2 linked regions of the Oryzias latipes genome follow. The protein of the gene in region 2 interacts with the protein of the main gene of each other region in a biochemical or structural test. Links are inferred from orthologs where the notes say so. Each region holds a gene or a part of one and is shown on either strand. Other genes may lie near its edges.

Region 1 (3,818 bases), on a different chromosome or scaffold from region 2:
CTTGATCTTCTTTGAGCAAATGTCAGCACCAGAGCAGCTGGAAAACATGAACCTGGTAAGATTTGTAAAAACACAAAAACAACATTCAGAAACAAACAACGAACGTTTGCTGAGACACAAAGCGCTCTTCTACCGGACAACCAGACCGCCGGGTTCACTGTCCGTACCACTTCTCAGTGAGGTTCCTCCATCGAGGAAACATCTGCTCTTCATAGTCCGAGTGTCAATGAGCACCTGAAGCAAGCCCACATCATGACACTCCCCTTGCAGGCTGTACAGAACTCCCTGAGCAGGAACATTTCCCCTCAATGACTCACAAAGTTCCAGTGCTCACACCTCCAAGTGTTTTTACAGCCAGTTTCTCTGCAGAAAAATGTCCCATCATGCTGCCGTTTAATACTGTCATAGATGTTCTTACCATGATAACAGGCGTATCATTAGGTCAAATCGATTTCTCATTTGAAATGAAACCTTAGATGGTCCGACTAAGGAGTTAGCTAAAGGCTGTTCCTGCACCATAAATGCAGAGTAACTCGTGGAATCATACAAAAGAGGTACAGGAAGAATGGAAGATTTAGAAAACCCAACATTTTGAGAAAAAAGGTAAAAAAGAAAAAGACACCCATTTCGTAAAATTCAACCATTTCAGGTTTTCAGACGCTCCTCTGCTTCCTCCTCCCTACTTCTTAGAAAGTTTCCCCGCCTTCCTTTTGGGCTCGTAGGGCGTCCGTAAAATGCTTGGCGTTTCCTCCATGACACGGACCAGGAGGTTGTCGATGTAGTCCTCCAGCTCCCTGATGTGTGCGTCCTTCTTTCTCACCACCTCTTTCTGCTTGATGAGCTCCTGCACCACCTCCTCAAAGGACAGGCTGCTGTAGGCCTCGGCGCGGCCCTGCGTCACCACCTCCAACACCAAAACAGTCGCATTTAGCCGCAGAACATTCCTGCTTCAGTTTGCAGAGTTGATGAGTAAAACAGGGAAAGCATTTCTCACAGGCTGAGCAGGAATGAACAGAATCAAGAGGAATGACGGGCCTTCTTGTTCGCTCGTTAGACCAATTAAACAGAACAGACTAATTAGGTGTGTTGGCCCAAAATGTCAAGTGTTTGTCTGCTGTTCTGCGTTTCTAATGAAGGCTAATTGAGAGCTGCTGGGATGTGGCTGCTCGTCAGTGTCAGACGGTATTTTCTCAAACTGTCAGCGTCACTCCAAGAGAATTAGGAGGTTGGCTGTCTAATGAGACTGAACTGTGACCCTGCAAAACAAAGCAGCATAATGAGACACCTCTTCCTCCTTCACACAGGATCTGCATGTGGCCCCACTGTTGAGATTTCACAGGCAAAAGGGGGATCTGGTCTGAGGGGAAATGCCAGGCCGCCTTTTTCTAAAATGAAAGGTCCGGCTAATAAACCCCGCTACAAGGATGCAGCTCAAGCCCCGCTTTGCTCTTTGAGGACAATCTGTTTGGACGGAGCGGCGTGGCACGGTGTGCGCAGATCATATTGCGCTGGTATGAGAGGAACTGTAATCGTTTTTAATGAGGGAGCACTTTATCGCTTTAGCGCCGGGCGTCCTCCCCCAGACGGATAGAGCTGCAAAAGCCTTCACCTTCTTTAAAATACCACACTTATCAGCTTCCACTCCCGTGCACCGCTCAGGCCTCCGCCGCTGCAGAAAGACAATGGCCGGCTTGGAGCTGGACTTCTTATCGCCTCCCTCACCACTACTGGGGCTACTGTGGGGCCACACAGACCCACTCCGAATATTGGCCACAGATTAAATGTCCGGCATTAGCGGGAAGACGCTGCACACCTGAGAGAGGTGGATGTTGTTTTACGTGCCAGCGTGTGAGCGTACCCTCTCCTCCTGTTTCACAGCGGCGCACAGCCACTGCATGATAATGTGCAGCTGCTGACAAAGGCCTGGAAACGGCCGTGAACTGGCAAAGTAATGATGACCATTTTTCTGCCATCAGTAGTGAGAAGAAGATAAGGCCCACACTTGGCATTCTCCAGTTGTGTCATTACAGTTTCTAATGAGCTCAGCTCTGTGAATCTAAAAGCTCAATCCTTTGAAATCTCTCACTGCCCCCCCACTGCATGTGGTTAATTAGGGCCTTGAAGCAGAGGAAATGGGAGCTGCCATTTCTGGAAGGCACACAGCGGCGTGCAGGGCCACATGTGTGGACACGGACAACCCTCAACACCCACGAGGAGAGGTGAGGAAAGCCATTATCACCACCCTCCTCCTCATTTAAGCCTCACTTTAGCTGCTGCCCCCCCCATGAGCGCCGCCGCTGAAACAGGCCGGACTTTCTAAAGGAGAAAAGAACAGAACTGAAACCTAACAACTGTTAGAAGTACAAATACAGCACTTCTGTAGTCAGAGAGGATCAGAACCAAACCAACCCAGAGCCACGAGCACAGAACAGACATGTGACTGCACTGTAGGTTCTGTCGGGTCGGGCCTGACGGACAGGAGCACAGAACAGACATGTGACTGCACTGAAGGTTCTGTCGGGTCGGGCCTGACGGACAGGAGCACAGAACAGACATGTGACTGCACTGAAGGTTCTGTCGGGTCGGGCCTGACGGACAGGAGCACAGAACAGACATGTGACTGCACTGTAGGTTCTGCCGGGTCGGGCCTGACGGACAGGAGCACAGAACAGACATGTAACTGCACTGAAGGTTCTGTCGGGTCGGGCCTGACGGACAGGAGCACAGAACAGACATGTGACTGCACTGAAGGTTCTGTCGGGTCGGGCCTGACGGACAGGAGCACAGAACAGACATGTGACTGCACTGTAGGTTCTGCCGGGTCGGGCCTGACGGACAGGAGCACAGAACAGACATGTAACTGCACTGAAGGTTCTGTCGGGTCGGGCCTGACGGACAGGAGCACAGAACAGACATGTGACTGCACTGTAGGTTCTGCCGGGTCGGGCCTGACGGACAGGAGCACAGAACAGACATGTGACTGCACTGTAGGTTCTGCCGGGTCGGGCCTGACGGACACAAGCACAGAACAGACATGTGACTGCACTGAAGGTTCTGTCGGGTCGGGCCTGACGGACACGAGCACAGAACAGACATGTGACTGCACTGAAGGTTCTGTCGGGTCGGGCCTGACGGACACGAGCACAGAACAGACATGTGACTGCACTGTAGGTTCTGCCGGGTCGGGCCTGACGGACAGGAGCACAGAACAGACATGTGACTGCACTGTAGGTTCTGTCGGGTCAGGCCTGACGGACAGGAGCACAGAACAGACATGTAACTGCACTGAAGGTTCTGTCGGGTCGGGCCTGACGGACAGGAGCACAGAACAGACATGTGACTGCACTGAAGGTTCTGTCGGGTCGGGCCTGACGGACAGGAGCACAGAACAGACATGTAACTGCACTGAAGGTTCTGTCGGGTCGGGCCTGACGGACAGGAGCACAGAACAGACATGTGACTGCACTGAAGGTTCTGTCGGGTCGGGCCTGACGGACAGGAGCACAGAACAGACATGTGACTGCACTGTAGGTTCTGCCGGGTCGGGCCTGACGGACAGGAGCACAGAACAGACATGTGACTGCACTGTAGGTTCTGCCGGGTCGGGAGCAGCTGCTAATGAGCTGAAGGCTGCATCATGTGAAGGTCTACAGACCAGCAGACAGACGGACGGCTCCGTTTGGAAAAACCTCCACCAGAAAAAACTAAATGATGAAATGAACAACAATGAATCCTCCACATGCAGTTACCAGAGATATTTAGATATTTGTATCACGTCTTTGGAGTTTCTTACATGTTTGGTGTTGAAAATGTCTTTT
Region 2 (3,918 bases):
AAGGCGGAGCTTCAGAAGGAGAGGGAGGAGCTCTGTAGAGCCACAGAGGAGTCAAAGATAAAGGAGGCAGAGGAGAAGAGAAGGTAGATCTCTTGTCCTGTCATATGAAAGAAACCCTGTGTATGTGTGACATCACTTCCTGTTTCATATGGCGGGCTGCAGCCGGAGGTGTGCGGCGGTCGCGTACCGGGACGACCTGCAGGCTCAGATAGCGGAGCAGCAGCAGCTCTGCAGCGTCTGGAAGGCTCAGGAGGACAGGGAGCATCGGCAGGGCCTGCTCCTGGAGGAGATCTACAACCGCAGGAGAGACCAGGTTCTGGCAGAACCCGAGTCCCACAGAACCAGCAGGCATCCGTTCCGGCACTGAGGGGTTCATTCAGTTCATAAATAAAATCATCAAAGTCTGATGAGATTCTGTGTGATTTAACCTGTTGGAACCTTAGAGGCCCTCCTCTGTGAGGAAAAACGGCTCCTGGAAAAGAAGAAGAACCTCATCAGAGCTCAGATCACAGCGTCTGATTCAGAGAGGAACTAAAGAAAGATCAACAGAATCCAGTGTACGAACCACAAAGTTCGGTTCTTCCTGCTTTTGGATCAGAGCGGATTCTTGGTCCTTTCAACGCAGAAGAGTGGGTCCTCCTCAGTGGTCCGCTTTGATGTCTGGCCTGTTTTGAAGGTGGAGCTGTGTCTGAGGATCCACATCAGCATTAAAACAGAATTCAGGAAGAGGCATACAGAGATTCCTTCTGATTTCCAACCAGATAAACACGTTTTTCCTAAAATCGTCTCCAATAAAACAGGAGTTTGTCTGGACTGACTCACCAGCAGAGCGTTTTGAGGACACTCCACCTGCATCCTCTGCACCACCATCTTTAAGTCAGCCTAAGGCTAAGCTCCGCCCACTCAAAGTCTGTACTGTACTGTAATGTTCTGGTTCTGATCTTCACTCGGTGGAGTCAAATCACAACTGTGATTCACACCGGATCGTATGGAACAAAGCCTTTGATTGGCCGACGCGTCACTCGTCACTGTTTTAACAGGTTGGACCCGACAGCCGCCGTTCTGCTTTTCAGGTCAGGGCGGGATGACGGCTCATACCTGTGGCAGGTGTGGTTTGGGCGGGACTCGCCTGATGTCTGAGCTCAGACCGTCTGAGAGCAGCAGACGCTCTAGACGGAGGATGAAGGTGGAATACAACCTCTACTGCCAGGTACACACACACAGGAACACACAGGTATACACACACTCAAGTACACACACACACAGGAACACACAGGTATACACACACAGGTACACACACACACACACAGGAACACACACACACAGGAACACACACACACACAGGAACACAATACACACACAGGTACACACACACAGGAACACACAGGTATACACACACACAGGAACACACAGGTATACACACAATCAGGTACACACACACACACAGGAACACACAGGTATACACACACACAGGAACACACACGCACACACAGGAACACAATACACACACAGGAACACACACACACACACACACAGGTACACACACACACACACACACACACAGGTAGACACACACACACAGGAACACAACACACACACAGAAACACACCCACAGGTACACACACACAGGAACACAATACACACACAGGAACACAACACACACACAGGAACACACCCACAGGTACACAAAACATGTACACCCCACAGACAAAGATAAACACACATTTAGGTAAATAGGCACACACGCACAAAGATACAGACATCTACACAAATTTTCTTCCTAGCGTTTCCCCTCAGCCAATCAGCTTCCTCCATCTAACCCTGTGTTCTGCATCCTCTAACAGCAGCTACCTTTATTTGTTCACTCATTTAGACACACACAAAGATACACACAGGTAAGCACACACACACACCGTGGGAAGTGGTCATTTTTTAGTTGTGTAAAGACGTTTGGGGAGAACGTGCTCTTGATTGTGAGAAACGACCATGAGCGTCCTTCTCTATTCAGTCCAGTTCAAATCAAAATGCTAGAATCAACTGTTTGATAAGCGTCGGTCCAGAAAATCCGCCTCGGTTCGGTCCTGGTTTCCTACAGAAAGCCGCCAGGGACATGTCCAGTTCCAGCTTTGCTTTTGTCCCGAATTAACAATTCGGCTGGTCGGTCGCCAGGGGGCGGTGTTCCTCAGGCTCCTTTTGTTAACTTTCCTGAAAGTTGGAACATCAGGTCACGTGATCGTGCCAATGTGTGGCAGGCGCGCGCTCGTCTGTGGAGTTTCGGGTGCCTCACGCGCGCTGTCTAAACCCACGGATGTCGCCTTGAGAAAAGGGCGGGGCTCTTGGGCTCAGGGGCCCCGAGAGTCCTATCCACTGCCAGCTTCTGACCCAACAGACCCGCCTTTGGGAGTAACCCCGGGACTGCTGCGTGCGCGCACGCGCGGCGGAAACCTGGCGCATCTTCAGCCAATCAGATGTCGCGTCAGGAAACACGGCTGTCAGGAAGAACCGGCCTCCACACCTGCGCCGCGCGCCTCTTCTGGACTTCTTACGGTCCGGTTCTGATAAAAGCTGCTGTTAAGAGTCACCGACGGTCCAGTTCGAAGCGGCACAGCCTCTCTGTCAGAAAAAAAACTGACCGAAACTCCCGCGGACACCTGCTGCGGGCTGCGTGGACGAGACCCAAACCGGGTCTTAGGGTCTCATGGGTTCTTAGTTCCAGAGCGGTTCGGATCTGGACGAGACGATGTCCGTGAACGACCTGTACACGAAGGTGAGTCTTACCTGAGAAACACCCTCACCCCCCTTCCCCCAACCCCCGGCTGCGGGGCGTCTTGGACATCCGGAAGTTACTCTGCGACTGAACCGAACCGAACTTTTCGTTTCCCGGGTCAGAGCTCCCGGAGCGGCGGCACCTGTCGCTCACAGCGGTGACGTCACTCTCAGGATGGTGACCGGAAGTTAGAGTAACTCGTTAGGCAGCGCTGTACCGCTTTGTTCTGTGTGGGGTGAGGGGGGCTTTGGGGAGGGGGGGTCTGTAGCTCTGATACCCCCTCCCTCCTCCCCACCACCCAGGGCATTAAGGTTGCATTAAATCTCATGGGGTACCGGACCCACAGGCGGGTTCCGCTCTGGACTGAAACGTCATTGCTCTGTGGGGGTACAACCCCCCCCCCCCCCCTCGTGTTCTGGTACGTACTTGAGGTTCTGTCAGAACCAGAACCTGGACTCTGAGGCTGAGGATGGGGATCGGAGCAGAAATTCTGTGGGGGGGTTGGGGCAAGCGGATGCAAAAAGCGCCTTTTTTAAAGCACAGGTGTGGGGCTCTCAGAGCATTGTGGGTAATGAAGTTCTGTTTTCTAGACACTGAGCTTCAGTTCTTCCTCTGGGGAAGTTTGATTTTTTTACTGTTGCAATAAAATGAATGAAGACACCCCCCCCCCCCCAGCCATCAGCAGAACCTGGATGTTGGACACACTGGACTAAAGCGGACTTCATGATTCTGATGCTTCAAGGTGTTTGTGGGCCGACCAGGACCTGTAGGGAGGAACTCTTTGAGGATCAGGATCTGTCTGGGTCCTGGATCTGGAGGAGGGTTGTGGTTCTGGTCCTGAAGGTTTGGTTTTCTGATCGTTTGATTCACTGCAGGTACTGCTTACCTGGGTCAGGTGTGTCTAAGTGCTAATTCACTGGAATGAATGGGAATCCACACAGGAACACCGACCAGAATCTGGACCAGGTTCTGGACTGGACCCGGTTCCTCTACGCTTTGCAGTCTCTCATTTCCCACAAAGAAAAGCATTTGGGGAACCAGACGATCTCATGAAGGAACGTCCTGCTGGTGTTGGGGCTGGGGGGGAGTTTAACCCCCCTCCCCCCGCAGAAGACTGCTGTGGGGCGGGGGCAGGGGGGCGGGGGGATCTG

The links.
Region 1: the proteins of myo5b (region 2) and rab11fip2 form a complex in vitro, tested with the Homo sapiens proteins (2 studies listed by BioGRID). The link is inferred for Oryzias latipes from reciprocal best matches to the Homo sapiens genes MYO5B and RAB11FIP2.

Annotation. Positions count from the first base shown.
Region 1 is NC_019873.2:30,137,276-30,141,093, reverse strand, and holds part of rab11fip2 (rab11 family-interacting protein 2), read right to left. Parts: coding exon 3,794-3,818; intron 1,257-3,793; coding exon of another isoform or gene 1,191-1,256; exon of another isoform or gene 905-1,190; coding exon 680-904; 3' UTR 1-679. UniProt on the Homo sapiens protein: A Rab11 effector binding preferentially phosphatidylinositol 3,4,5-trisphosphate (PtdInsP3) and phosphatidic acid (PA) and acting in the regulation of the transport of vesicles from the endosomal recycling compartment (ERC) to the plasma membrane.
Region 2 is NC_019870.2:391,273-395,190, reverse strand, and holds the start of myo5b (unconventional myosin-Vb), read left to right. Parts: upstream 1-960; 5' UTR 961-1,084; coding exon 1,085-1,210; intron 1,211-2,251; exon of another isoform or gene 2,252-2,740; coding exon of another isoform or gene 2,741-2,767; intron 2,768-3,918. Other genes in the region: cfap53 (cilia- and flagella-associated protein 53), read left to right, coding at 1-83, 163-367. UniProt on the Homo sapiens protein: May be involved in vesicular trafficking via its association with the CART complex. The CART complex is necessary for efficient transferrin receptor recycling but not for EGFR degradation.